Linked DNA regions of Oreochromis niloticus. The protein of the gene in region 1 binds, or shares a complex with, the protein of each later gene. Links are inferred from orthologs where the notes say so. Each region holds a gene or a part of one and is shown on either strand. Other genes may lie near its edges.

What was found.
Region 2: the proteins of fzd4 (region 1) and ndp are in contact, whole or in part, in a crystal structure (PDB 5BQE), measured with the Homo sapiens proteins. The link is inferred for Oreochromis niloticus from reciprocal best matches to the Homo sapiens genes FZD4 and NDP. Residues at the interface, in NP_036325.2 of Homo sapiens: Ser51, Met52, Gln54, Asn55, Leu56, Gly57, Gln95, Phe96, Met105, Thr107, Lys109, Ile114, Asn152, His154, Met157, Cys158, Met159, Glu160, Gly161, Pro162; in NP_000257.1 of Homo sapiens: Asp33, Ser34, Pro36, Arg38, Met40, Arg41, His42, His43, Tyr44, Val45, Asp46, Lys58, Met59, Val60, Leu61, Lys102, Lys104, Leu106, Tyr122, Leu124, Ser125.

Annotation. Positions count from the first base shown.
Region 1 is NC_031979.2:17,448,938-17,464,546, forward strand, and holds the start of fzd4 (frizzled-4), read right to left. Parts: upstream 7,761-15,609; 5' UTR 7,304-7,760; coding exon 7,040-7,303; intron 2,904-7,039; coding exon 2,766-2,903; intron 2,636-2,765; coding exon 2,249-2,635; intron 1,839-2,248; coding exon 1,693-1,838; intron 1,045-1,692; coding exon 797-1,044; intron 627-796; coding exon 208-626; 3' UTR 1-207. UniProt on the Homo sapiens protein: Receptor for Wnt proteins.
Region 2 is NC_031987.2:31,087,853-31,103,240, forward strand, and holds the start of ndp (norrin), read right to left. Parts: upstream 7,889-15,388; 5' UTR 5,192-7,888; intron 3,877-5,191; exon of another isoform or gene 3,806-3,876; 5' UTR 3,671-3,805; intron 1,124-3,670; 5' UTR 1,027-1,123; intron 1-1,026. Other genes in the region: efhc2 (EF-hand domain-containing family member C2), read right to left, coding at 14,289-14,405. UniProt on the Homo sapiens protein: Activates the canonical Wnt signaling pathway through FZD4 and LRP5 coreceptor.

The DNA.
Region 1 (15,609 bases):
ACATGGTCAAGGACTGTCTTTACTTTGATGATGCAATTACATCCAGAGGCTGTTTTGGTGATATTCCTGCAACGTTCCTGTGCCACATTTGCAATCTCCGTCTTATCTATTGATTCTCTGACCTCCTTCATTCGTCAGAGTGAGTTTCTGTACATGAGAGAGAAACAAGCAGAACTCCATTCCTGTCCATTCTCTCCTTCTTTCTCCTCAGACCACCGTCTCATTGCCTTTCCCTGGTTTGATCCAGCTCTCGCCCGGTGCCCTCTTGCCACCTCGGCTCGCTCTGCTGTCCCTGAGCAGCCGCGCAGAGCAGCGCTGCCAGGTGTGGAGGGTTTTTGCTGACCAGATCCACATGCCCGACGTGATGCCCACAAGCAGTGACATGAAGATTCGAAGCATCTCTGATGCCACATATGAGTCCTGGGTGCTGGCCCTGAACTCCCCCCAGTTAGAGAGTTGGTAAAGATAACAGCCAATAACGGTGGAGGCTGGAACGGTGTAAAGAACAGAAAACACTCCAATCTTCACCATTAAACGTTCCAGCTTGTCTGTTTTGGCACCGTCCTTCTGCAGATTGGAGCGAATCTTGAAAAGAGCCACAAGGCCAGCGCAGATGAACAGAGTGCCTGAGGAGGAGGGAGGAGAGGAGAGGGGGGCACATGTGAGGACCACCAGTTTGAAAATTGTAATGAGAAACTGAGTATGTTACAGAAATGCTGAGGAAGAAAAACAAAGTAGAAAATAAGGAAACCCAATATAAGCAGATGAATGAATACCAATATTATGCTTTAATTACCTATAAGCAGGTACGTGGCCAGTGGTGCAACCACAAAGCCTGTGAGTGCTTCCTGCTGCTGGTTGCCAACATAGCAGAGCCCAGTCAGGTCATCTGCATCCACCAGTCTCATGATGAGGATAACAATGGTTTTAACTGCTGGAATGGCCCATGCAGCTATGTGGAAATAGGAGCTGTGCATTTCTATAGCCTCATGGCCCCACTTTAGTCCTGCAGCCAAGAACCAGGTGAGGGTCAGGATTACCCACCTGGAAGAGAGAGCAGACAAAGGAGCAATATAAGCAACACATTTTTCTCATGGGTACACTTATCAGATTATATTTTTCTTTTTATAGTGAAAAGAAAACATCTGTTTCTAGAAACTAAGATACTTAGGAAAACCATAGGCTACTGATTACTGTTGGAACAACACATAATTTTCCATTTATGTAACTTTTTCATAACCAATCAGGTGGACATGGCCAGTCGTCAATTATAATTAAGTTATCCTGACACCAGCTAGCCGTGAGTTGCATAATAGAGGGTTATGATAATATTTTAGGAGAGAGTGAAGTCCTTGGTCTCTTGCTTTTCCAAATAGGGAAGAGTGTAGGCAAACAGGAAAGCAAGGCCCAAGCGAAAAGGAAGAAAAACAGCTGTAACAGCAGTGTTTCCAGTGCAGGACATATTTAAGAAGTGTCACTTTTACCTTTGCATGTGTCGGAAATGAACCCAAATGGTACATGGGTTATGAGACAGGGCAGTAAGACTTTAAGGAAAACAGGATGCAAGTCTCATATTCCAATTGTTCTAGCAAAAACAATTCCCAGCTGCTGATGACAATGATTAAACTGGGGCAAAGAGATGAAGGATTTATACAGCAAAAAGTCTGCAAGTCCGTGTTTATTTGCACTAACCAGAGAGAGGACGCCATGCCAAAGAAATAAAGGAGGAGGAAGACTATGGAACAGCCGGTGCTCTTTAATCCTTCTTGTACCAGAATTGGCACTGCTGCAGCATCCAGATCGCAGGAAACACGTTCCCTCCCAAGAGTCAGTCGTACCTGTTAAATGACATAAAAGAACAGAAAGGGAAAAGAGGTGAGGCTGAATTAATCCCAGAAGAAGGCAGAAAGAGGACGGATTGTCTTTCTTTCTAAATGCAGAGAGGCAGAGCTGGAGATTACTGAATTATCTGAATGCAGTGATGAATCAAAAAGTGCTTTTAGTATTTAATCACTGATGTAACATTTTGAAAACTCAAAAACAAACTGTACTCTTGTTGGATTATGTTCAACTGCTGGCGCTGTTACTCTACAACATTTTTATAAAATATGAAAAATAATCGATATGCAAAAACTATTCCATAAGGTGCTCATCTGATTATTTTTGATGAAATAGCTTTATTACTTCTTAACAAGAACAAGACAAGTGAAATTAAATAGATTGAAATAATACTAAACCTCCTGCTTACCAGGTAGGCTACGCTGTACAGGTTACAGCACATGGAGAGAAAGATGATGGGCCTTTCTGGGTAGGAGAAACGCTGAGAATCCAAGAGAAAGGTCAAGACTGTCAGAGTGGTTGAGAGGAAGCACAGCACAGCCCACACCGCCATCCACGCATCCGTGAACACTTTGGCCCCTCGCCTGTAGAGCCCGCTGTCATAGCCGCACTGGAGCGTACAGCTTTCAGTCTGTTTAAGCCAAGTATATTGGTCAGGTGCAGATCCCAGGGCGTGACACTCCTCTTGGTGGGGAGGATGGCGGACGGGCTGGTATGGAGGGTCTTCATCCCCTGGACCCTCCATACACATGTGGTTGTGGTCGTTTTGAGGTGGGAAGAGGCTGCAATTGAGCTCCTGGGCAGAAAATATAATGGGTAATGTCAGTAATGGATTTAAACGTTTCTTGGTTTTCCACATTGCTAAACTACATCCTGAACTCATATTTTTTTAAGACATGCGTGATGTCTTTGGTGATACGACTCACCTCAGGCCATATGAAGCCAAACTCGTGGAGCACGGGGAGGCATTTTTTCTTGACCGACAGACACATGCTGCCACATGGACCAATAGGGATGGGAACCTTGTCTGTGCACATTGGCACATAAACTGAGCACAAGAAGAACTGTTGGAAAGTGGAGATAAAGAAATACATGTTTAACATGTGATCCTTTGCAAATGTAATCAAGTTTGGCAAACTATGCATTCTGTGATGAGATTTAAAGTCATGGAGCAAAGAGTGACTGCAAAGTAACTTTTGGGAGGAAAAACATTGTCACATGAACAATATATTAGTCTAATACTAATATACCGGCATATTTGCGCTTCTCTTTGGGAAGATTGTTCACAATACTCTCATCGATGTCTGCAGTTGTGTCAGGGAACCACAGCCGAGTAGGTGCAGGGTCAAGTTGTGTCTAATTTGTCAAACACATTGCCGGAAGTTCAGAAACAATGGCCACTCATCATTTTCCTGTTCAGCATAACTCTAACATAAGGTATGGGCAGAAAAATGAAGGACAACCAACATAAAGCTTCTTACTTAAGGTGTTGGTCCATTGCATGGCTGTCAGAAGTGCTTCAATAAGCCTTGCCACTGATTCTTTAAGTGTAGGCATGAACACTACTCTTCTAAAGGATTTTCACCCATTGGTTGTTTTTAATGATGCTAGTGGGGAATGCTGTCTAAAACATCTGTCCAGAATCTCCACAGATGTTCACCTGGGTTGGCACCAAGTGACTCTAAACCCACAGTATATTATTCAAATCATTTTCACACTAATCAAATTATTCATTTACCCTTTGTTCCCTTGAAAAAGCCAATACTATCAAGATAGAAGTGTTTCATCATAATATAAAGGGGATCCCTCGGAACAACTCTGAGTTGGAGTGACCCTTCCCTCCAAGGCCCTCTGGCATGCCACACTTCAGAAGCAGGACAAAAGCTAATGCTCCACACCCAACAACAGTTAATAATTTATGAAATGAATACAAGTTTAACTTTAGTGAAATAAAAGCCAGCATGATATCATCTGTAAATGCTTGTTTATTTTCAACCACAATAATCATTATCATTCAACTTGGCCCTTTCATAGTCCAGCTCAAGTGAGCCTCTTTGGGGTCCGCCCGACAGTTCGAGAACCACAGCTCAAAAGGGGACAAGTGGACGCTAATGATGCCAGCAGCACTCCTCCCATTGAATTCTCAAAGCAGTGAACTCTAAAGGGCTTTTTCATCCTCTGTGCAGTATAAGGAATATATATGAATATGTATATATGAATATCAGAAGTTTTTGCCCATTAAAAACTGGTACTGGTACTAAGCTCCAATTCCAGTTCATCTAGAGCAAGTGAAAGCAACAGTATACTTAAGCCAGTTTCAATTAAACACTGAAATTGCAATAGGAGAGCAACAGTTATCCAATCTTATGTCATACTTTTTAGACTTGTGTTTCACAGTTTGATTGAAGTGAATCAAAGGTAAATTGTGTCATTTGTGTGGTGTATTTTAAAGGAGTGAAAACAGTGCTGTGAGTGTAATGCCGGCCCTGTAGGCTTTCTGTATATTACAACTGGATTACAGCTGCTAACTGTACAGTACTCCCACATGTGGCTCCTCCAGCTACTTGCATATACATCTCGCTATCCTGCTGCTTTTTCTGCTCCGACTTTCATTACATTGCATCACCTCTTCTATTAGCGGCTCTCTATTTTCACCTCTAATAAGGAATGCCACATCTTGAGTCAAGACAGAGAGAGTCAACACTAACCTGCTCCAAGGTTACGCATACAAATCCGTACCATCAAAAACAATCTGTGGTCATTACAGCAGTGAGGGCATGTGCCGTGTAATGCTGCATGATCCCCCTGATCTAAGCCTGGTTTTTATTCTGTCCCATGGCAATAGTTTTGAAATAGATATCTAAGTCAGTGTTATAAAGATAGTGAACAGTCTGGAGTCACATTTGACTGCGTGCAGACATTCTAGCAGCAGTGAGGGAAGAAATACTCTGGGGTTACAGAGGGTAGCAATTTTAAGTGATTTCATGCATTTATAGTGAAATCTGTTTGAAGCCAGAGTGTAAAATTGTACCAGGCTCATGATATGAAAACACACAGAAGCAGAAAGTGCATTTCACTCAGCTACCATGAGATAACGGAAACAAGCTCTAGGCACTTGGAGTGGTTAAAAAAATGTGCTGGAGTAAAAGGTTTGATGCTGTTTTTCCATTTGAAAAATATCAAAATATGTATTGGGCCACAGCAGGAACTACATGTTACAGAAGTGCAGCCTTGATCCAGTTATAAACAAATCGCAGCTTGAAATCGGCCCTTGAACGGAGCCCAAATGAAACATGAATCCAACAAGGGTGTCAAGGTTGGGAAATAAATAATCAGGGAAATGTTATACAACTCTTAGTGTCTGTGAGAATTTACTGGTGGGGAAAGGTTAAAACTGTTGCCTCTGTGCACTGAAGCATGTTTGAGATATAAACAAATTTAATATACATTAAATGACTGAGCTACTGTTCTGCTACACATCTACAAGCAGATAATGTTGACTTGTCTTCTGATAATGAATCAGCGACTTGTTACCGCGGCAATATCAAAATCACTAATCCGAGTCTAAGAAAACGTCCTTTAAACTCTCAGCTTATTACACTGTTCCCTGATCGGCATCTGGGTTATCATGTAGTTTCACTGGTCTGGCCCAAAGTGGCCTTTATGTGGCCAACAATGTAAAATGAGTTTGACATCCCTGTTATAGAGTTTCTCACCAAAAACAGAGAATGTATGTTCCTGAAATTTATTGAAGACCTGCCATCCTGAATAATTGTGACTTGATAAAATGCAATCAACCCAAATGTTGTAATATTGTCTTGGTTTGAGTTACTAAAGCATTCAAAGAAGTTCATAAGACATACAACACATGTTATACTTCAAATAATTCTCACGGTGAGCTCTGCATACTCAAGCTGTGACAGTAACCTCACATATTCTGGGTGTTTTCCCTGACTGTTGGTAACCTGAGTCCTGTCACTTCACTGCGAAAAGCTACTCCGGTTACTACTCAGGAAGCCTCCCATTAGAGCAAATGTTAAATGATACGGTTCCTCTTTCCCCTTTCTCCCTCTTTAGCATCTGTGTGTGTGTGTGTGTGTGTGTGTGTGTGTGTGTGAGAGAGAGAGAGAGAGAAACTGGGTTGTCAGCTAAACTTACTGGACAATTTACAACTGGAGGAGGACAGTTTGGCTTCATGCTGCAGTTGCTTCTTGATCTGTGTGGTCATCTAGCACACACTGTATGCTTCTTAAGCAGTGTATTAATTTAACATGCCAAAATATTTTTTTACCCCTATTTCCCAACAGCTGCACACAGCAATAAGTCACTCTAACGCTGTAATAAAATCACATGCCACTCCAGGCAGGGCAGTGGACTTAAAATAAGGACTGAGGGGGGGAAAAAGCACTTGGAAAGGTGTGGGCTTGATTTCATGTCAGTGTGCGAGGATGTCTAGACGATCTGGACATGCTTGCATGCCTTTGAAACTGGGCGTCTCTAAATAAAGGGAATAAAAGCAAATTATAGAAAAATGTAAACACCACTTGTCCACACTGAAACTTGCCATCTCTAAAAGAAATCTCTGATGTGCCACCAGCTGCTCCAATAATAGAAAATGAAATGTCACATAATTGGACCAATCTTTTTCTTTTTTCCTTACATGGTGCAGGAGTCAAACAAGCAGCATTTGTTTTATGACACTGAGGGCATCATTGTTAACAAGACAGTGCAGTATATAGCACTGAAGACTCAGCTGTTGCTGTGAGGGGCATGAACTCAGAATGTCAACAGACAGAGGGGGCATTTTCAATGAATTTAGCATGACAGCCTGGCACAACAGGAAAGGGAGGAAGGCACGGAGCCCCCCGCTCCCGCCCGCTCCTCTTGACTCCGTGGGAATCAACTCATGTTATGGCCCTCATTATCACCGGGGCCATCAGTCTGATCAGTTCGCGGTGCTGCAGCTCTGTCATGCGCTTTGAGACAAACACACTGCTCCTCTCTCTTTGACGCACGCAAATAAATATAGCAGAGATTCCAGACTGAGCCATGCTTTTTTTTAGACCAGGCTTGTTCCTAAATTTGTGCACGTTAATGGTGTATTATTATCATCATTATTATTATTATATTTGCATGGTGGTTATTCTACTCTGTTGTGATGCCTTGACATCAGTCGCTACGATTCGCATGGGTCCACTACCTTGAGTTGACTTGAGCAGCCGTACTGAATGAGCGGCGTGAACGTGGTCAGTTGCAGCTCTGCGTCCGACTGCAGCACGTTGCCGACCAAGTTGGGCATCTTGGTGACGTTGTAACCGAGACCCTGGCACATGCTGATCCGGATCGGGTCGCAGGTCATCTCCTCCACCTCATCGCCAAAAGCCCTGACCAAGCAGAGCGGAGCGACCAATCCGGATAAGAGAAGCACTGCTGACCCCGTGAGCGACACCATCATCCCGGGCATGGTCACCCTGATATTGAGCGGCTGCCCCTCTGTAAATGTTGCCACAGTTATTATCTCGTCAAACACAGTCGGGTTAAGTCGCCCTGGAACCTACAGCGGCGTTTGTAGTCCAGCTGGAGCGGAGTGCGTGTTCGTCCGTGCGCTCTGGGAGCTACACAATCCCACTCTGAGCCATTCAATAAATTCAAATATCCTGAACGCAGAAGTGGATCATTGCGATATCAAAAGCGCGTGTTTTCAATTAAAAGAACGTGCGCACTTGCAGTTTGAGAAACAAACAAACAAAACTGCATCTTGATAAATCCTCAAGTCCTTCTTATGACGTCTCCCGTCAGTAACTCCGTGTGGGAAAGCGCAGCGGACCGACAAAACATACAGCGGGACTGATTTTGTGCCTACTGCTTCCAAGCGTCCAGCATTAAACTTTATTGTGTCTGTGAAGGGAGACTATTTTCCTCGTCCAGAGAAAAGCCGACCAATCCAAGCACGGGAGTTGGGTTTCCCTGACCAACCCCTGGCCAGGTGGGCGGGATTCGAGAGAAAAATAGAAGAGCGAGCTTCATCCACTCCCCTCTCCCCTTTATACTCTCTCCCCCCTCTCGCTCTTTCCTTTCCTTCAGCATTTTGCCTTCTCCCGTCTCATTTCCTTTTCATGCTTTTCTTTTCTTTTCTTTTCTCATTCTTCTCACTGTGTTTCCTCTCCTTTCCCCCTGAAAAGAAAATGAGAAGCATTCCCTAGCTAATTCTGACAATATCCAGAACATGTATTTTGACCGGATGATGTGGTCTACATATAATTTTATTGGCTGTATTTTTAGAAAATATGCATCTGAAAAGTAGATTTAGAGTGTGCATGTGTGTGTGTGTGTGTTTGTGTGTTTTATATTTAAAGTCCTTAATTGTCTTTTAAGGGCATCTGGAACGCCACCACAGGTTCCACTCCCCTGCTCTAAAGGCCTGTCAGCTCTAAGTGCTCATGACATTGTAATTGAAAATAGGGCCTTAAGTGATGCTGAAGCATTGGAAATCTGTTTTGCATTGCAGTGAATGCACATACTGGACAGGTTTTGTTTGCAAGTGGCACCCAGGGAGAAGGTTTTTTTTTTTTTTTTTTTTTTTTTTTTACAGCATGACACTAGCGGTGAATAGTGTTGCTTTGGCTTTTCTGTGTTGTTAAGTGGCCTTGGGTGAGAAAGGGCTTGGATATGCTTGCAAATATTTTGGGAGAAGGGATGCTTCATGTGTGTGTTCTTCAAAGTAACATGCAGAATTATGACAGCTTAAAGAATCTCCCAGATGTAATCAAACTCAGAAAATTCAGATGCAGTTGCAGACTAGCAGATATACAGTACTCGGGCTTTTCTGCAAAGTTATGATTCTCTAGTTAAATTCCATCTATGTGCAAGGACTGCTGTAGTTCTGTCATTTAAATATGTACCACGTCCAAGCATTATTTATCAAGGTTCAGGAGTTAACCTATTGAAACAACTGAATACACACCCTTTCATGGACACAAACATAAAAGTTCGCCCTGACCCCAAATATGTGCCTGTTTAATCTCTACTATCTACTCACACAAAGTAAACATTAGCAACAAAAACTGGAACAAACGGGAGAAGAAAAGAACAGTAACATTGCAGAGATACTTAATTGTGATATAATAGACTTGAAACTTGAACTAGAAACACTTTTGCACATCAAACCATTTCTATCAGATTTTCTGAGAGTTCCTGTCTATATCAGAGAGTTGCACAAATGCTGAAAACATGTCCAAATCAGCAGCAGTCAAGTTGACTGGTGTCATTGTGCTGCTGTTCTAGCTCCCTCTTAGATCACCCCATGATGGTTTCGCAAATCCAGTGTGAAAACTGATTGGCAGCACCAATGACCTCCCCAACCAACCACCCCAACCCCCAACGCAGAAACACTCACACATTCAGAGGGGCACATATTCGCATACGCACCTTCCCCCTCTATTGCTCTTCGTCTGAACCCGAGGTCAAGACCTGAAGTAATTAGCACCGAGCTGAAACAATAGCGTGTGCCTTGGAGCTGATGGCTATCAGGGGAGTGGCTTGTGTGCGTGAGAGTGTGTGCGCATGGATCCAAAAGAATGAAGTGAATGCATGGGAACTTAAAACGAAGCAAACTTGGGACCAAAGTTCTGGAGCAAAGCTTAATTTAGGAACTTGTGAGCATTCAAAGTGAGATTGCTGGAAAAAGTAAGTATCCGTGAAAGCAGAGAAAAGTGGCATCAGCACACACACACACACACACACACACACACACACACACACACACACACACACACACACACACACACACCACCCCCCTCACCTTCCCAACAGAGTGTGAATAGCAGAAGTGAGCATTTAACATGTTTGAATGGACGACCTAATGACTATTACACTGGGTAGATAATGACCACAATTACCCTTTAAGCTACAAAACTAACACATCATACATTACACACTTATACATTCCTGAACTGACATTCAGCTGCTCAGCAAAAAACAAAAAGTAGTCCCATTTAAATATGTTTATACATGTAACTTGTATTTAAAAGAAACAGATGTGCATTATAAATATTAATACAGCTGACTGATTGCATGGGACACAGATGTTCTGACTGTTCATAATAAATTATTTTAGTACTTTGATAGTAGTTTTTACGAATCCACATGGAGGGTATTTTTTGAGCCATCCTGCATCTTAGCACAAACCACGTTCTAACCAAACCAGCAATCAGCTTTGAAAGGAAATAGGTCTGCCAATACTTTGGTCAGGCTAAGCATAACATCAACATTTACACTGAGTAGTTAATTTATAGTGACTGTACGGAACGCAGGATTTGAAGGCTGCAGAGGTGGGACCTGGTCGTAGTAAATATGCAATCAAAATCTATTAAATGCTTGTGTGGATGTGGGAAGGTGAGGAATTTCAGCCATTCAGATCACCGGTGGCAGAAGTCGCTTCAACAGCAGCATAACAGCGCAGTTCCGTTTGGTATGTTTTTACTGATTTTGTAACAAGAAGGAATAAACCTTTAAAATGACTTTCTCAAACATACCGCATGAGGTCTGTGTGCGGTTTGTTTTGCAATCCAGTAATGCTGATTTCCACTGCTGAAGGCCAAGCAAAAATAGTCAGGGCTTTCTAATTATCAATGCCACACAGTTTTCTCCAAGACAGCGTTCATGTGACTCTTTTTGCATGCTGATGCCAACAGAAAGGACTCGGTGGTGTGGTTCTCATCCCCAAATTACCCACCTCTGCTAACATTTTGATGGTTTAATGCTTAAAGAGCCCTGCCTTTGGAAGGACATGTGCCCTGGTTGGCCCGAGTTCAAACTTCCCTGAGGTCTTAACTTCCCCTAATCCCTACTCTGCACCACTGCCACCTTTGTTACTTCCACAATAACAAAAAAGTACATGTGCAGAATTATAGACACCGCAGGAGGTAAGCTGGTTGGGCAAATATAATAAGTGAAACGCCTCACCCAGTCCCACTCCTACCAGTTTAATTCATCTTTAGTCTTTGGTTAATAAAGGGAGAAGTGAGGGAGAAGAAACAAATTAAAGAAATGTTTGACAGAGTCGAGTCTCTGCATCTTTTGTTGACGTGACTGCTGGTTTTAAAATGGTTGTGCCAATGCTGTGCTGATTTATGATTACTGGTAACGAAGCTTCACTTGAGATGACAGCTGCTAAAATCAGATACAGTCTGTGAGTGGGCAGGGCACCTGCATCTGTCCTAATGATTTAATAGCAGATGTTCAGAGTGAATTAGATTTTGTTACTTACTTCCTCCATGGTTGCTCTGTTTATTTTCTGGGGAAAAAAGCACATTATAGCAGCAACACTCTCCTTTCAGTTTTGTGGAAAGACGCACCATTATGCCATATGAAACCTTTAAAACAGCACTAAATACAAAATGCTTCTTCCTAAAAAAATATCTTCATATACTAAAAACATCTGAGATTTGTCACAACCCTGTGAAGGCCAACTGGGTCTTACTGTGGGAATGTAACCATTCTAACCTTTCAGCTTGGCAGGCGGAGTGAAAAGCACTACCCTGAGGACAGAAAGAGAGACACAAGTGTGTATCTGTCACCAGATAGCATCTTATGGCTCCATGCCCAATCCCTTAGTCCTTGAAGTGTGGTATTAATAGGCCTGCCAACTCCTTGGAATGGTGTGAGTGTGCATAACTGAAAATGTTCGACATAGACTAGTGTGCTGCTAATGATGTGCGGCTTTGCTTCCATGAATTTAGTATTTTAAACTCCTTTGCATGCGAGGGTTTGTGTAGGATTGGTGCTACGTGTTGATGATGCTGAAGTGAGTGGTTATGTCAGTACGGGGTTCGGGGTGTTTGACACAAGAATGTTTTTTTTTACCAATTCTTTTCTTTTTCCTTACAAGTGATCTGTCCCCCGTAGGATAGTAGGTTCACATTACTCCATTGTATAATGCTATATACCACACACTCTCTTTCATCAACTCTCCTCCATCGTAATCTGGCCCCTGATTCCAGCTCTTTACTGCCACTCCCAGCCTCCTTTTCAAGCTGTCAGTCTTCTCCTCCTCCTCTTTTTAGGACTGGAGTCACAAAGCTTGCAAATGAAATCAAAATTTAGATGAAAAAAAATAATACTCATAATTTTAGGTCTGATATGAACAATTTATACGTTGAAATTTTCAGTAAAACGTTCGGAGAATCATGTTCTTGGTAGAAAGGTCTTTTGGGTTGTGTATGTGTGAAAGAGAAAATGTTCAGTAAATCAACAAGATCAGAAAGGGACCCTTCTAATGTTAAAATTCTGAGCTTTACAGCAAACTAAACAAGTTTACAGTCAGTTACAGTGTTATCAATATTGAAGTTCATTGCAACAACGTAATATGTCAGCCATGGCAACTATATGGCTCCTTCACATGTAAAATACTGTCATTATCTCAGTTTAAAATTACATTACCATGAATTTAATATGATTTGTAATTTGACACTGAGGTTTTTCTCATGTCTTCTTGGCAGGATATTGGCATATATGCTTTGTGCCTGACTTATTTGCAGTGTAAACAGTGGTGCATGTGACCTAAATAGGGATAAAAAATACAGTCAAAATGATAAAATACGAGATTTATTTAAATTTATTTAAATTTTTATATTTTATACATATCATAAAAACAGCTCAGCTGTAAAGCCTCTTATAGGCAACAACATTTATGGCAGTTTTTCCTTAAAATTTCAGTTTTTCTTCTTATCTGAGCAAGGGACATGTGTATCTAATAATACCCTACATAAAATATTGTTACTAACTTCTGCATAAAGACTTGAACCTCACTGGCAGGATACCACTGCACACCGGGAAGTGTCTTGTCTATTCATCTTAAATTCTAAAAGCCACTTTTTTGAGTGGTGACTTTAGCCCAAGGCGGCCCTGTTTGGCTTGTTTGGTGACAAGCAACAGAGTGCTGATAGATGGTTCCTGTCCGTGGCTGTAAATTGGCCTCTTGTTGGAAAGTTAACCCCTGTAACCCTGCTTGTCTGTAACAGCAGACTCCTCTCTCACAGCCCAGGGCAGCTGATGAGCTTTTCCCAGAAGTCCGATGAGCAGGTGGTAGCGGTCCAGTTGGGATGCGGACGGATGTGCTCTCTTCTTAAAAATGTCCCCATTTCTGTATATGACTGCGTGGGTGAGTATTTGGCTCAGAAGAGAGAGAGGGAGGGAGAGAGGGAGAAAAAAAAGAGTAAAATAAAATCATCTCCTATCTTTGGAACATCTGCACCAGCAAATGAATGCAGCTCCCTGTGATTACAGCAGTGCCGTAATAATGGATGAAAAAACATGTGTCTGTGCAGAGCATGTCAGGAGAGGTCAGCTAAGTAGGCCGGGCAAACCAATTAGGTAGCTGTTGCTGCTGAATGTGTTTCTTTGTGTTATGACTGTGTCTTTATGGTCATTATTAATCAGAAGGGAGATATATTGTGCAAACGCTTAATTCTGATGAACTGTGAACACATTCGTGCTCACAGAGAATTAGGGAGTAGTTCACCTCCTCCTCCTGACCTTCTGCAGACACAGCTGTTTCTCCTCTCCTCTGGCCGGTGACTGGGATGAGTTTTATTAATGTCCTGTAACTAAGTAACTACATAATATGGATCTCTGTGGCCCTGCTCAGTGACTGATTTATCTCCCTGCTTGCTGGGAGTGGGTGGGTCTGACTTTACAGTATTTCATGTATGAAGAGCGACATGCCTTTTTAATGAGCTGGATAATGCGGCCAGAGATGAGTAACTTCAACATTTGTTAACTAACTGTATTCTAATATATATTTGAGTATTGCTGCAATTTGTTCACTGCTTGCAAGTAAAGCAATCATTTTTGTGGTATGGCGATTTCTGGGGAGTGCGAGTGTTCAATCAAACATGGCAAAAACCAAGACACTGAACCTTTTCATGAAAGACTGTATAATTGAGGAGCTGGACTGCTCTTTAACAGACAACTTCTGGGAGCCACTTTAGCACAACTGTGTGTGTGTGTGTGTGTGTGTGTGTGTTTGTGTGTTTGTGTGTGTGTGTGCTCTTGGCGCACTATTCATCCATGAACTGTAGAACCACCATGACACCATAAGATGACCGCATGTATACACAATGAGCACGTCCAATAACACCTTTGGGTAGTTTGTGCATGTTCCGTCCGATTATTGACATTTGTGAGTCAAGGCAAAGCAGACAGAGTGATGAGTGGTTTAAAGGCTCAGAGCACACACAGTAACTCACACACACACATAAGCACACGAGTTTGGAAACAAAATATGCGATAAGAGCAGGCGTGTGCTTGTTCTGACTATGAAGTGGAAATGTTCTGTCAATTGTTGTGTCGAAGGGCTGACATCCAACATGCAGCTGTGCATCGGAACAGAGGGGGGAGCGGGAGAGAGCAAAGGAGAGACTGATTTATTATGCTTAGAGGACGAAGGTGGACACCCTGTTTTTCCAATACAGTGGGAGATATGCAGAGAGGAAAGCGGGAGCGACTTCAGAGAGCTGGAAGCGGATACAACTGCGGTGTGCACTCACAGAGAGACCAAAAGAGAAAGCAAAGAGAAGACGAATCTGTATTTATTTCTATAACCAACTGAAAGAATAACTGTCACATAGTCATAAAAGGAATCGTTGTTTTAGTTGCTGAGTGCTCAGTGTTCTGGTTTCTACAGCAAACACACCATCATCTGCTTCTCCCTTAGTTTGTTATTCATAGACCTCTGCGCTGACTTCCTTGGCACCTGTCTCTTCCCCATCTTGTTGCTCCGCTCCCTTAAATAGAACTCGTCTCTCCAGAGGAAGAGTAAACACTAGCCCTGTCGTGGGAATACAGACAAGCACAAATACACACACAAGCATATAGCAATGTACTCATAGTTTATATCTGAGCACACATGGGGTAAGTAAATCACAAGATCAATTGTTTAGAAGTGGAAAGTGCAAGAAAAACAACAATGTAAGATAAAATGTTTATTTTATGATGCAAAATACCTCTGTTGGATATTTATATGTCAGTGTTTAGTTTGATCTGGCCTCAGTGGTTTGGACCCAAAGCAAAGATGCACTGCTGTATGTAGGAGGAAAAGGCCATTACGCTTGTGTAGGCTGAGGCACTCCCCTGCATGTGTGCCTTTGTGATAATATGAAAACACTCATAAACAATCTGCAGCTTCAGGCGTGTTTAATTTCCACACTTTCCTGAGCTTTTCCAGGTCATTTTATAGCAACGCCAAAAATGTTTAGTGTTAGGAATGGCGCTAAGTCATTGTTATTCCAAACTACAAGGATAAAATTGGTTTAGAAAAAAAAATGGCAAGGAGTGTTTCGAAAATAATGATTTGTAAAGCATTACATATTAACCCCGTGGGCTGTTTGTTCTGCCCATCAGGTCGTGCCCCCCCCAGACTTAAGTACGAACTGATCAGTGCTACAGAGAGCTGAACTGGTCCTAGCCTGCAGAACTGTGGTGTAATCACTGGAAACACTGTGAATGCTGACTGTTGATGTTCACTAGATAATATTGGTGCATCTTTTTAAATATCACCAAATGCGTGCGTCTATATCTGTATGCATACGCCGGTTCCATAACGGTTTCACCTTATTATGTACACACACGGGTTGTGGTTAGAGTGTTTCTCTTTTACTTGAGTTAAAGAAGCAGCACACAGCCAGACTGTTTGATATGTGGAGTGCCTGCTAGACACAGTCCCCTCCCTCACAGTGTTGCTCTCACATAAACACAAACACTTTTCATTCA
Region 2 (15,388 bases), on another chromosome or scaffold:
AGAAACTAATAAGAGTGCCAAAGCTGGAGCCCCAGAGGCAGACGAAATTATTACACAGCATGTATTATTTGCACTGTAACTCCAGGCCTATCTCTAGATCTGTGCTTATTGCTTATAAAAATACATATCATCTGTCATAGAAAAAATCTAATTAAACAAATTCCCCTTCATTTTTTATATAACTTTAGCATCATAGCCAAAGGGCGGGTAATTTTAAAAAGGGCCCTGTACCTGCAAAGAGATCCAAACTGGGTTAAATATATAATATGTGGGAATCCAAACCACATTACTACAAACACAGCCCCTCCTTACACACCACAGTTTGTGTGGTCTAAAGGTTTTGGCTTCAGCTAGTTATGAGAAGATAATTCCAAGCTTCAGAAGTGCAGACACTGTGATGCCTCTCTTAAAGGCTACTGTGGGAAAGATGCCTCCCCACGCTCACCTGGGATACAGAGACAGATCATGACGGGTCTGAAATACAGGCAGGCCAGATCTGTGAAAAGCTTCAGATTTTTGACTACTTTTGGAGTATCTGTGGTGAACAATATTTTCTTACCATTTGTAAAACCAAGCAATCGATCAGTTCGCACAGACAGTGACAGCAAGAACTGATTTCCCTGTTTTCCACTGCTCTAAGATACACAAACACAAGTCATAATGAAAACTTTTGTTCAAGAGGTACAAGTGAAACAATTACGTTATCTCAAAAATCTGTTATGAAAAGTGACACTGCGCTGACGCCCCAGTGTACGTGCCATATGTTGTGTAGAACAGAATTGCACAATACTTGTTATCATGTTTTCTGATTAGCAGTGGGGTGCAAGTATAAATATCCCCTGCCCACCTTACTTATGGGTTTTCATCTCACACACACAAACCCTCACATATGTACATAAGGGCTGTGTCATGTGGTATTCTCGTGGGTGTTATTATGCTCTGAACATTGCTGGGATGTTGGTGTGTGATGGCACATGGGCTGGGTAGGGGGAGTTGGATCTTCTCAGGGATCCTCTGCTTTATCACCTATGCCTGGCGGCAGCTGAGTACACAGTTGTTGTCCAGTGATGGGCCTGTCTGCAGTCACAATGGGGAGCTCGGGTATTAAGCCCCCGCTGCCCTGCTGAGAAAAACAGGTGCATCACAGGACGATGGAGGAGATGGAGTGAGGACGAGGTGACAGGTAGAGCGGGGGAAAAGGTTGCTTTATGATCTGTCATGAATAACTCAATCTTGCCTTCTCTCCTACATTTACTGCTACATCATCACCCTCGTTTCTGATCTGCTCCTGCTCGGTATCATGCCCAGAGTTTACGTCATGATTTTCTATTCACCACCACCACCACCTGCCCTCATCCCCAACCTCACCCCCTCCATTGTTTCACCAGCTTTTAATAAACTAAAGGGCAGATTCCTGACTGCAGTGAAATGAGGGAGGGTGGGGGTGTACAGAACCACAGACCTGTCCAACCACACACACACAAACACACACACAGTTTGGCATGCAGAGTGCCAAGCTCTTCCACTGTCTACTGACGCCAGCTCTCAAAACGCACACACAAACTTACTCTTCCTCTCTGTCTAAAACACACACACACATTCACCCTCTCTTACCCTCCCCACGCGCCACTCTCCTAAAAGCTAAGCTCCTCACTAAATATATCCCCCCCCCCAAGTAAAGATAAGACAAACAGTGTGGATTTGAGAGCACTGTACAGCCAATGACAGGCGGCCGTGTGAGCTGGAGCTAATCTTATGTTAGCTTTACAATTTAGGCTTCTCAGAAACAGTGGGAAATAAGAGGCACTGGGATTGGAGAATTCACAGGGAAGGCATTTGTGTAAATATTCTCCAGTTTCTTTTTCTTCTCATTTAACCAGAGTGTTGGAGCTGTTTGGTGACCGCTTTGATAAAAACAGAACCCCCTAATCTTCTTGAGTCAACACGCATGCACCTCAAATCCCTACTCCATCTCCTCTGCTGTTCTCTCCATCCGTATCAGAAAGAAGTGGGGGAAAAGAAAAGCTGTGGTGAGCTGTGGGCTAAAAAAGCTGCGCATGTAACTAGATCGATCCTCAATGCAGCTCTGGGCCTAAGGCCTTTTTGAAAAAGAGGGAGCGAAAGGAGTCATGGACGCATTTGTTTTATCACTCTGGACCGGGTTTCTTTGGGCAGCAGATATCTGCCACATGCTCGTCTGGGTGGTTGGTATTAAGGATCCCCTTGATAGCCTCAGGTTCGTGTAGAGCATCCATTTGTCAGAAGCACATTCCTGTGGCAGTGAGACATTGTGAACTGCCTATCGGAGCTTCAGCACTGTCCAAATAAATATACTCACAATGGGCCCCAGTGTGTGTGTGTGTGCGTGTGTGTGTGTGTGAGAATATGAAACATGAGACACAAAACCAAGTGTGCGCTGCTCTGCCAGAGCATTGCTGTCTATCTGCACCTGGCTGACTGTGCAGTGTTTCAAACACACCTCCTACTCCTTGTCTTCGCCTTTTTCTCTTCCCCAAACAGTTCAGAGGTGATTCTCAGAGTCTGCGGCGCTTCTTTCGTTACCGCGCAAACTGTTTCTCATCTGGTGTCACCGGAAGTGGATGGCGATGTCTGGAGGGCTGTTTGCATCACACGGTCTCAATCGCTTTCTTTTTTCCGCCCTGTCTTGTGTCATGCTCTCTCACTCTCACCTCCTCCAGCCCTTCTTTTCTCAGCCTCTCTCACACATCTCAGTTTCATTCTGTTTCTCCTATTTATTGTGTCCTCCTCCTGGCTCTGCCCGTCTCTTTCTTTCTCAGATGATTTTTTTCCCTTTCCTCCTACTTGGGCTTCTTTTCCTACCCCACTCACATTATCCCACACTCTTTTGTAGCCACTTCATTTTTCATTTAAACACCTTCTCCCTTTATCATTCTCACACACACGCACACACGCCTCTCCTCCTCAGTCAAATCAAAGTGGTAGCTCGCCTCCTCCTCCTCCTCCTACCTACCACAGAGTCTATTGTATCTGTCATCATGTACTTCTAGCATAAGCCAGCAGCCTCGGGGTCCAACATAACAGGCCAAGTCAATCATACACTTACAGCCATGAACGCACACACCTGTAAAACACATATTCATGCATCTCTGGAGATGTTCACTATCAACGCACAGCGATGTTCATTAACGTCCCGCAAGCCACGCGGGTTCCCACTATCCAGCCTCGCTGTCAGTGCCTGATTAGCAAATCCACCGGCGCCAACACAAACATGTTTCCTCTTATTACAAATCATGTCACACTGCGTCCTAATCACAACCACTTGCAGTTTCTGGACTCACACGGTGTAGAAACGACCTGCAGTAAAACAGGAATGCACACCTGAGCTTAGTGATGTGCAACAGAGGAAGGGAGGAGGAGGGGGAGAGAAAATAAAAGTGAGCAGGAGTGTCAGTCAAACTCTCTTTGAGCGAGCCCATGTGTGATGTACATACAGCTACGTAAAAATGCACACACGTGAAACAAATCCAGGGTATAGCAGTGAATACTTGGATCCTTGATGGCATGCCTGATACAGAGTTTGATTAACTACAGTTGCAGCACACAGAGTTATAAGAAAAAGACAACAGGATGCACCCAAATCTGTAGGAGTGCAGATTCAGAGGTGTGACACCCAGCCTGATGGTCTTACCTTCAGTGACCGGCAGCAGAAAGACAGCAGAGGTATCCGGAGAGGCTGCATGCAACACTGGATTTGTTGTTCAACTGTTGTTTCCCAGCCAGCTCCTCTCTCCTCTTGTTTCTACCTCTCTCTCTCTCTCTCTCACTCACACACACACACACACACACACACACACTGATTGTCTGAGCGCTCCTCTCTCCTCCCTCTCCCTCTCTCTCTCTCTCTCACCTCTGCTTTCTCTCTCTTTCTCCCTCCCTTGCCCCCCTCTCCCTTACTTTTCTTTAACAGGGAAATCACCAGATAGAGGGAGCAGCCTGGATGCTCCCCGCCTGTGAGGACGCTCATCACATGTGGATCGTGACACAGCAATCATATATCATACGCCCTTTTCCCTTTTCCCTCTCTCTCGCAGGCACACCAGCTGACGCACCGACATGCTCCGCAGCGGCAAATGGGAATTCCAGGCTTGGAACGACTCTGCTCGCCCCATCAAGAGAGAGCTGACCAAAAGCTGCAGCCAGTTTTTTACGAGGTCAGGGTTATAAAACTGTTAGCAGATTTAGTTTATTTAAAAACAACTGGCCCCTACGGCCCTTCCTCTTCACGCGGCGTCCCCCCATGACACAGGGGTAGGGGCGGAGGGGTTCGCAGGTGTGGTGGTGGTTTGGAGGGGAGGAAGGAAGGGGAAGGAGAGAAGCATATTTGGGATTGCAACTCTGAGATACCATTTACTTCCATTAGAAAAGCAAAGCTACACATACGCTGAATATATTGAAAAAGGAGACATTATGAAAAGCGCCAAATTATAACCGAATGAAAGACTTATTTGCCAAAAATTACTCTGTGTTTAAAACACAGACACACAACCCGGAGGGGAGGGGAAATATGAGCACAAACCTAAAGTCAGTTGTATGTTTAGAAATGATGAAAACAAACTGCAATATAGGAGAGCCCCGAGTGGATCCAACTGTAATAACCTCATCCATCATTCTCAAGCGGCTCAATATGAAGACAGACAGACCCTGGAAATATTAAAGGGGCACACTGCTGTGAAGAGAAGGCAAATAATGAGGCTTGCCCTGAAAGTTATATATTCTCTGAGGCTGCGCGCACGACAGTCGCCTGATTATTGCAGTCGATTACGTCAGTGACCTCGCTTCCTTTTCAGCATTTCTGGATAGGGAATTATCAAAAATATGACAACTACCTGATGTGTTTGTGGTACTGGGATACAGAGGGAAAAGGGTATTTCACAGTTTTTACACAGGCACAGAGAGGCAGAGCCTATTAAGGGACTAGCTCGTGCCATTTTTCATCGCCTCATGAAATAAGTAACGAGTTCATGGCCCCCCAAAAAAGGTGTAAAAGAATAACACGTGTTTGGTGACAGCCTATGCTCATATTGTCATTGTATCACACACGAACATGTCCTTGGTATGGGGAGTAAAAATTCTCAGGGGAAATAAGGGGAGAGAGGTCCACCACACTAAGCAGGGCTTACAGGGTCAAAAGTTTAAGAAGCACAATTACCTGGAAGGCCTCAGCTGACCCTCAAATTTCTCGCCTTCTGTTCCCTCTCTTTCTCGCACAAATACACCTTCGACAGAGGGGATTTACAACCAGCAGCAGGAGGTGGGGGTGAAAACTTATATGCCACCAACGGGCTCCTAGAGAGTGAGAGCGAGAAGCACACGTAAGTGTTTTGTGTTTGTGTTTTGATTGCACTTTCAGGCATTGTAAAAGATCGGGCCGGCTGTGAATGGTGTCAAATTAAATGGTCATAACTCACCTGGACTGGAGTCTGACTGCCTCTCCTTGGCTTAACTCGGCTTGTGTCCACATGAGAGGTGGTGACAGGGAGTAAATGGCTTCAGATAATGTATCATAATATCACATTAAAAAAACGGTCAGTGGAGCCAAATGTGAATCCCATATGCGGGGAGAAGAGGGTGGGGTGGGAGGCAGAGAGCGGAGGAGAAAGGCCAGAAGACATATTGAGCTGAAGGGGGATGCACTGAGCTGACATACCGCTGCAAAAGCAGCTTCCTGACAACTTGGACAAACTCTCTCACTCTCTGCAGTTTTAGCTGGTAAATGGGCGGTAATAAAAAGCAAGAATAATGTGACAGCTGCTGGCAGGTAACTTACTTTTTAAAATTACACCTCGTTTCTCTCTTTGTTCGGCTCCATTTTAGTGACGTGTCACCACCTTAAGATTTTTTTCGCTTCAGTTGCATGTGACAGCGGTCCATGTCTTTATTAAGTCCCACCTTGGCTGTAGGCACTCTGATCCTCCTGTCCCTGTGAGCACCAGCACTCGAACTGGTCTTCAACAGGATTAGCAGGGCAGGGTCATATCGCATCACCTGAGTCACACATTTGCTGGCCTTTGGGCATGGTATCCTAACACCAGCAAAGAATTTATGGTGATGATAAAGCTCTGATGCCCTGTCCAAAGATGTAAACATTGATATCTGTCAGTTTTTAACTTGTTTCCTTCGGAGCAGGACAGCTTATTTCGAGCCACTTCATATCGTCTGCGAGACACATAAAACAGCAGACTGACTGATGGTGAACACACACGTATTCAGTCTTCATTTGGAAGCTTAACTTTCAGTATTTAAAAAAAATAGAAGTGGGCTATTATTTTTGGAGATTTATGCAGACCAGTGTGCAACAGAAAAACAGGCGTGTTTGCCTCAAAAGTGGTCTCCACTGGGAGCCAAATGCCTGACAAAAATAGTCCCATAGTTGTAATTTAAAGCTGGTGTAGAATAACTTTCTCTGTTCTTGACCAGGTAGAGTAATGTCACAGCAGCTGCCAAAGACAACTTGGTGTTTGATGAGTGTACCAGGTCTGCCTATGGAGCTCAGGGAGAAACACAGTTAGCTCAGAATCAAGGGATATTGTCTAGTACAGCAATAAAACTGTGGTATCAAAGAGAAACTGCACGGCTCAAATGGCGATGAGGGCGCAGTGAGTGCAGACCACACCGTAGCTAATGATCTTAACACTCATTTAAACCCAAAAGCACATAGCTGTGTGCATGACATTGCATGGGAAATCAGAACAACCCCACTGGGTGGAGGGTTTGTGGATAAAGGGATATAAGAGAGAAAGTGAAAGATTCTGAGATATGGAACAAAAAAAAAGAGCAAATAAGTGCTTCCCCATGTGCACCTGGGGCAGGGTCTGACCCTGTAAAGTAGGGGCTAAGCCTTACACCCCTCTCTACTTCCACCCTCTCTCTATACCAATGGCCATAGGCACTGAGCAATCACCGGAATGAGGGAGAGCTGCAAAAAACAATCTACTAAACTCACTTCATTCCCAAAGAAGTACCATTAAAGTAGCTGCTCTACCTCTGCAGCCCACTTGGGACTTCTGAGTCAGAATCAACAGGTGGAAAGGCACCACGTTTAGTGAAGGTAGTTTGAACTGTGCTACAAAAACACTCTACCTGTGTTCAGAAGGCAAAAACAAAAACCAGCCAACAAACAAGATACTATCTAGCTCTCATTTCCAAAGGTTTTCCAAAGTTTTCATCACAACTTGTCGTTCCATCTCAAATCAGATGATCAAAAACTCAAAACAGAGATTTGTTCTATTTGGATTAAACTATCTGCTCATATTTTGTTTTTGTGGTAAAACTTGTTATGTTTCCCCAATCCAGCATGAAAATTTCAGGCTTTTATCTTTAATCACTTTTGAGATAATCATATTCAAACATTGTCTGAGATTTCAATGTGCAAAAAAAAAAGGCCTGAAAATGGATAAATGGACCATTTCTCCAAAAATATATCTTGAAAGTATTTGATACATAAAGCTACAATTTCACAGCAAACAGAACATATGTTCAACCTTTGAAACATAAACTTTCTAGGCATTTTTTTAAATGCAGAAAATGTTTTTATAAATGTGATGATTTAAGAAGAAAATGGAAAAAAATCTATACATATTTAACAAAATTATTTTCTGAGTTGTAATTAAAGTCCCACCTGTAAATGTCATACTTCTGATTTATTTAGACGCGACAATCTACTGATACTTGTGTTTTTGTCATATATGCTCAATCTTTCGTGATTAAGTATTTCATGTTAAAAACTTTTCTGCATGCTTTAATTCACAGTTTTGTGAATTGTCTTTCACAATGTGAGACTTTACAGGATGGCTTGAATTTGTTTTTTCATATTTTACCTAGCCAGTACTTACACGTACTTTGATGTATGTCAGGGCAATGAAAAATTCAGGCTTTTATCTTTAACAGTCTTTCAGATATGCATGTTTATCCTTTGCCTCAGATTAAAATATGTGACAAAAAGGCCTGAAAGTGGGCCAACGGACCATTAAAAAAAAAAAATTAAAAATTAAAAAATCCAAATAAATTAAATATACACATATTTTGAAATTGAAGTAAAATGAGTATATCAGAGGGACAGTTGAGGTTGAGCAGTTTGGACAAAAAGCTGGTTTGGACGCAGGAGGAATAGTGGATATTTTGAACAAAGGATGTTGAATTTGGAGCTGCCAAGAAAAAGGCAAAGAGGAAGACCACAGAGAAGATTTATGGACGCACTGAAGGACGACATGCAGAGGGTTGGTGTGACAGAGCGGGACAGTGTTGGGGATAGCGTGAGATGGCGTAAGTCTGATGCCCTGGCTGTATTTTTTTTTCTTGTGTAGGTAATGACTTTAGCTAAACAAACTTGATAATTTTCCACAACTACAGTCTTAAACTGTGTAGAAAATCATTAGCAGGGCGGATTAAAAGATTATACCAATTACTGGCAGATTGTTCCAAGTTAAGTGCAGGGCCAAAAACTGCTGCTTTGGGGGAAGAGTTCTGAGAAAACAACATCTGAACACAGGTGCTTTGTGATGTGTGTGTGTGTGTGTGTGTGTGTGTGAGTGTGTTGTTCCAGGTTTAAGATTTGTTGTCATGAGAAAAGAAAGGAACCCAGCCAGTAAACAGAAACTCCCCCCTCTTGTTCTCAGATATCTGTTTAGACTTCATAGATTAGCCATGACTCCATCAGACTTGCATTAGGCCAATCACGCACATACAGTGCGTGCACGCAAACATACCCGTGCGCCGCACACTCAGATCCTCTTCACCCAGGAGACATTTATGGATTTCCTGCATATCGGTTTTTACAGTACAATCGTCCTGAGCAGAACAGCAGTAATGTAGAATGAGGACAAAAAAAAAGAAAAGAAAAAAGGGAGCAGACTCTTTAAAACAAGCCTCAGTGTCCTGTTCGTGCTGAGGCAACAGAACACAAACCACATGAACTAAACAGTGCATCGCAGAGGGTGATTCATGATAGCGCTGCCCCCGTGTTTGCTGCAAAGTTTGAGTCACATGTTCATCGTCGTGCTGTTTGATAAAACGCTTTCTTAAACATTAACAGCACTGCAAGACAACTGTTGCCTTCTATACAGCATGCAGACAAATATCAATTCACATAAAAGTCCTTTTTAAAATTGTGACGTTAATAAATAAATACATTTATAAAAGTTCATCACAATGATTAGAATTTTATGGAGTTAACCAAACTCCATGGTAGGGTCCATTACAATTATGGAAGCTAATGCCTGTTAGCTTTTGTTTTCTGTGTGGACAACTGCAGCTAAACAAAAAATTTTTCCTTTTAATTTGTAATTTTCTTTTCTTGAGAAACTTCCCCTTTTTTAACCGCTGATGAATCTCATCATTCACTTATTCAGGACTACCTACTCCCTAATGCAAGAGAGACACATGGCACAATATCCAGCTACCATATTTCAGGACAAAGACAGCAAACTTATATCAGTAGTTGTGTTTTGTTTTCACTGCTGTGATTCTGTGCATGCAGTTGCGCTGAAAATAAAGTACATTTACTATTCCAAAGAGCAACTTTTGACCCCAAAAATCTCTATGAAGCTCTTACTCATGTAAATCAAAACCTATTAACACATCTGACTACTCTGCTCAACTGTGGACTCCATCCATCCATTTTATTCCAGTTATCTAATCTGCAGTAGACAGTCTAGTTCAATATGCGAGATTCATTTTCATTTTTCTCCAGCTACATGTAGACAACCATCAACTGTGGGACCTGTAAATACAGCGATATCCTGATTTTTCTTGAAATTATTTAGCATGTTACTGTTTTTGGTGTTTGCTAATTTGTCTCATGTGAGATGAGCAAAAGGGCAGCATATGGCTGTGGAGCTGCAGGTTTACCACCCCAGATCTGATAATGCTTTAAAGCAACTGCGCAAATAAGTGCCAACAGGTACACTCACTTCTAGGAGGACTTTTGTTCTTTGGGATGCGGATGACCTACAGTAAATTCACATACCAACTTAAAAACACTTTCAGAAACTACTTCTGTCATTCTCTCAGCAGCCAAAATGAGCTTCTGTTGGCTGCTAACTTATACAGAAGGGGTCCCCACAGCAGACAGCTCCAGATATTTGATTTTTACACCAGATGCAATCTCATGGGAAGTCTTGAACCAGGAACCTCTCGTATGCTAGCTGAATGTTATGAAGCAGCTATTTTTGCAACATTATTTACATTCATTCAGTAAAAAGGACTAGATGTTACAGTCCCTGATAATGCATTGCTTTAGATGGAGAGACTCTTGTACAGACACCTTGAAATCTGTTAAAAGCAGCGTAAAAAGAGGGCTTTGCACCAAGTAAAGGTTTTAAAAATCTTTTTCTTTTGCACAATTCTCACATAGATTTGAGTTCAGCATTCTTCTTACCTCATTAAACAATATTTACAGATGAGAACAGATGAAGGAGAAAGACTTTTTTTTGGTAAAGATTTGTTTTTACCTATGTCCGCCTCTGCCCTAAGTTCTCTCTTAGATGCTGTCCTCAAGTGTAACATGCATTTGAAACAATGGAATAAATTACTAAATGCTCATGGCCTTGTAGCTTTACACTCTTCAAAACAAAGATGGGAGTGGCACAAAGTCGTTCAGCTAATACAACCATCCTCTGTCTGCCTTCAACATTAAATACTCCAATTTAAGACCATACACAGGCTTCACTGGGCCAAAGTCAGATTATTTAATTAACAGAAATTTACTGTGACCTTAAGACTACATGTGATCGTTGTAAACTGTCTTTGCTTGTACCCAAATTTAAAAAATTTCTGATGTCAATACTTTGAAAGTTTTCTACAATTTGGGGGAAAGTGCACTGTCTGCTATTACAGCAATATTTGGGGTAAACCCTCCAAATGTGAACCTGAACAGAATCCAAGCTGAAATTACTGCTTTTGGTCGACTTGTGCCAAGAAGGCCCATCCTACACAAATGGAAGGACTCCTGAAAAAGATCCATCACTTTTCTGAAGGATCAACCCAACTGCTTTTTGAAACCTGACAGACATCTTTCTTTTGTGTCAGACACAGAAGCAAAAGCTCTGAGATCAATAAGTTTGTTCTCTCCTTTTCATAGTTTTTGATTCTCTTCTGTAACTGGTCTGGATGAATATAAATCAGCACATTTATATATGTTCTTTCTCATGTATATATTAAAGCTCAGGATGTTCTCATTATCAGCAAAAAAAGCAGCAGTCAGTAAGTGGAAATTTGGTTCATAACTAGATGAGTGTCTTCCACTACATTCTACTCTACATTTAATGGATTCATTTGCGAAATGATTAGTGATTAATCTGTAAAGAACACAATCATTAGTTGCTTGTTTTTAACTGAATGCATATTTATAATGTAATATACACATAACAGTCACAGTGACCATTACTCTGCCTGGGGCACTTTTTAAAGTAGTAATACACTGTCCTGAATATAATAACTTCCTTTGATATTTTCACTGCATGACCTTCCCCATATGTCAGTAAGTCTCTGAGTACTTCCTCCCCACTTTAAATAATGGAGGCATCCTACTAACAAACTTATAGTTTTTCGCAAAGCGTGATTTATTTTCTGAATACATCCAAAGACAATCAAAAATCATTGATCAGCAAGTACTTCATATACTTCAGCTCAAACTATAATATTCTATATTTTTAAAAACCCAGCCTACTCCTGAAGGACATTGTGCACCTCATACGTCACATCCATATTTTAAAGCCCAATGATGATGACGCAACCCATTCAATCTGCTGTTGCTGTGCCACAGACCGTGACAGGGCAGAAAATGGGATGTGTGGGTGCATAGCAACTGACAGGAGGAAGAGGAGTGTTGGACGATGTGGGGGTGGTGGAGGCGTTGAAATTCCTCCCTCATTATCCTCTCTCTCTCACCTCATGTTTCAGAAGGCAAAAAAAAGCCAAGCATGTGCCCAGGAAGCTCCCCGCCACCGCTGACCGCATCACCGTCACTCGTTGTGTTTTGGTGGCGGGTGACTGTGGAGGTTAATATTTTAGTATGTGTGAAAGCAGGCGGACAGGACCTGATAATGCCCTGAGTGATGTAATGCACTGTTTCTGTGCTCAGTGTGAAAGGGGTGAGGCAGTGCATATGGTGTGTGTTTGCATGTGTGTGTGTGTGTGGTTACACAAAGGGGATTGGGTGTTTGATTACCCAATGTTTGACTTATCCCCTTACTATAATTTGCAACGCCGGCTCCCATTACAACGGCGCCTCAACCTGAACAACCTGTGCTTTTTCATATTCTAACAGTGCCACATACAGACAGGCAAACATGAGAGTGTAGTTCCATGTAATTCAGACCTCTGAAGAGCTCACTCCTCACTTCTATGTGTTGCCAATATCCTTTGCGATGTTTTCATCCATTTAGTATGAGAAAAGAAATCCCAGAACTATCACTGACAATAAGTCACTGATGCTGGAATGAGCCTAAAGGAATATATAACTGAAGCCAAAGAGAGACAACAATAACAACAAAATCCATTTTGTTTTCTCTATGTACATTTCTACTTTTAAAAGTAAGATTTTGCCTTGATAATAAACATATAAGTCCTGGATATATTTGCCAGATTTTGGATCATTACAACCCATCTACGGATTAGGACAAAATTATCAGCCCCCCAGTGAAAACTTTTGATTTCACAGGAGGGCTGATAATTTTGTGTCCAGTACCCAGAACAACTGCCAAGACACGAGTGAATGCTTTAGCCAAGTTGGGAATTTTAGTGTCTTCTCAGCTATTTCTACAGCTCTAGAGAAGGTAGAAAAGTTGTCCAGTGACTAGGAGGTTCATACTGAATAAAGAGCTGTATGGTTGAGGTCATTCATTTCATTTCACCTCTTATGAATTTATGGTAACTGCATAAAGCCAGGCCAGGGTCCCAGTGGGCTCGAGGCTATCCCAGTTGTCACAAGGTAAGTCCAAGGTACACCCTGGACAGGTTGCCAGTCTGTCATCAAAACCAACGGACAGACAACCATTCACACTCGCTTTCCTACCTATGGCCAGTTTAGAACACCAGTTAATCTGACTTGGGTGGAGCACTGGGCGGTGAAGCCAGCGTACTTGGAGAGAACCCAAGTACCCAAGTATATAAAGCACCTTGAGGCGACTTTTGTTGTGATTTGGCGCTATATAAATAAAATAAAATTGAATTGAATTGAATTGAATTGAAGAACCCATGCAGGGAGAATGTGCAACCTCCACACAGAAAGGCGTCAGCCAGCTGGTGGATTCAAATTCAGGACTTTCTTGCTGCAAGGCAAATGTGTTAACCACTGTGTCTGCAGTAATTTATCTTTGGCAGGCATCAGTGACAACAAGCATGACACTGATTAAGTCAGAAAATCGTATGAAATGGAAGAGCTGGGGTAGAGGTAGGGTTGCGAAGCAGCTTGCAGAGGCTGCGGCAGCTGTAATTAGGCTTAACCTTAGCTCTCAAAGGGTTAAAGCAGCTTAAACCTCTGAGGGCTTAGTCATCATAGCAGATAAACCTAACCCTACCATAACCCTGTAAAAATGTGAATAGTTTCTGATGTGTGTCAGACTGTTTTCGAACTTCCCTCATTGCCAAGACTTGGAAAAGGAATTTCATAAAAACATTAACTACATGTTCTGAATTCCCAGGGTTAGGTTTAGGAGTATCACTGATGACTTTGAACAACGTGTAGCACGTTGTAGTAAAGTTTACTACCTAAAATTTTTATGTCCTTGTCCTTTAATTTAATCATTTGGCAAGGCGGACACAACATAACTACCTGGTATCATTAACAAAATGACTGCCAAATGTCAGCTTTTTCTTGTAAAGGTAATACTGTTTAATCAATATATTTGTGAGCAGAGCTCTGCCCAGCATGTGTTTTTCAACCATATCTTGGCTAAATTCAAACCAAATCGCAAACACACACTAACACATGCAAGCACATAAAAAAACATCTGTGTTCTCACAACTTCTCTCCCCTAAAGCACCAATTTTCCAGTTAACTCAATTGTTTTAGCTTTGCGCTTGAACCACTGCTGCCAAACTGTACGCACACACACACACACACGCACGCACACACACACACACACACACACACGCACACATACCACTTCTCCTGTGGTTTTACACATCTCCACTCTGACCCATGATGAAAACACAGAGACTGGTTATGTGATGTACCATGTCCTTTAATTGAGGAATGAGCAGTGTGTGTGTGTGTGTGTTTGTGTCCATGGGGTAAGGGTATGTGTCTATGCTGAGGTGTCACTGCTGTTGGAGGGCAAGCTGAATGCATCCTGCAGGAAGGCAGAGTAGTTGATGTTTTTCACGGCAGCTCCGCCACCATCAAACCCCACATCGACTTCAAACTGGAAACAGGAACACACACGTCACTTTGAGCAGATTCAAATACTTAGTGTTGTAAATAATTGATTATTCTGGTGTCCAGCTTTATTTTACTATTTCTGTCTCTCCTCTGTGACTGTTTGTGCTTCTCTGTGATAAAGCTCTTCTTTATTGTTCTTTTATTTGCTTGACTCTGGACTATGACTTGACTATGCACTTTTACACAAATTAAACATTTCAGAGTGTAGCAAAAGGGCTATTTAAAATAGCACTGCTTTTTCAAACGTTAAGAAAACTAAGGGCTGTCTTTACAGCTGCCTACATTATACTGATTAAACCCTAGAAAACAAAAGAAAATCCTGCTTACAAAAGTGCCATTTAGCACTTTCCACTTTTTTTTGAATTGTTTCCAAGATAAAGTAAAATGAACAGAACAAAAGAATGATAACAGCAGAGGCAATAAGAAAATCAGCAATGCTAAAAAGCGAGTTGGAATGCAGCAAATACCAAAAAGGCACCCAAGGAGAAGTTAGTTTGTCTGGACCTGCCAACGTGACATTCCTGTTGTTTTTGACACCTTAAAAAAATGTTAAAAAGGTGCAGTGGCCATTTTTGGTCACTTCGAGGGTTTACCTTGGAGCTTTTTTAGGACGGCAGAGTAGTTGAGCAGAGACTGAGCAATGAGTTTGGGCTTAGAAGCCGGCGAGGCAATAAGCAGCTGGAAACCATGGCAGAGGAAAATGGAGAATAAATTAAGCACAGTGTCAGTATACACACACACACACACACACACACACACACACACCGTGAGCACATACACAGATTCCTTCACTCTCGTTCTATTCACGCAAGTCTGGTGAATATCTCTCCTGCTCACCTGTTTCTGCTTAGATTTGGCTGTAGCGTAGCATGCTGAATTTGTATTACACAGGAAAGATACAAGTAAAAGAGAGAAGAAGAGAAGAGCTACTTCTTTTTGACCACCCCTGTATGTATGTCTCTCTCA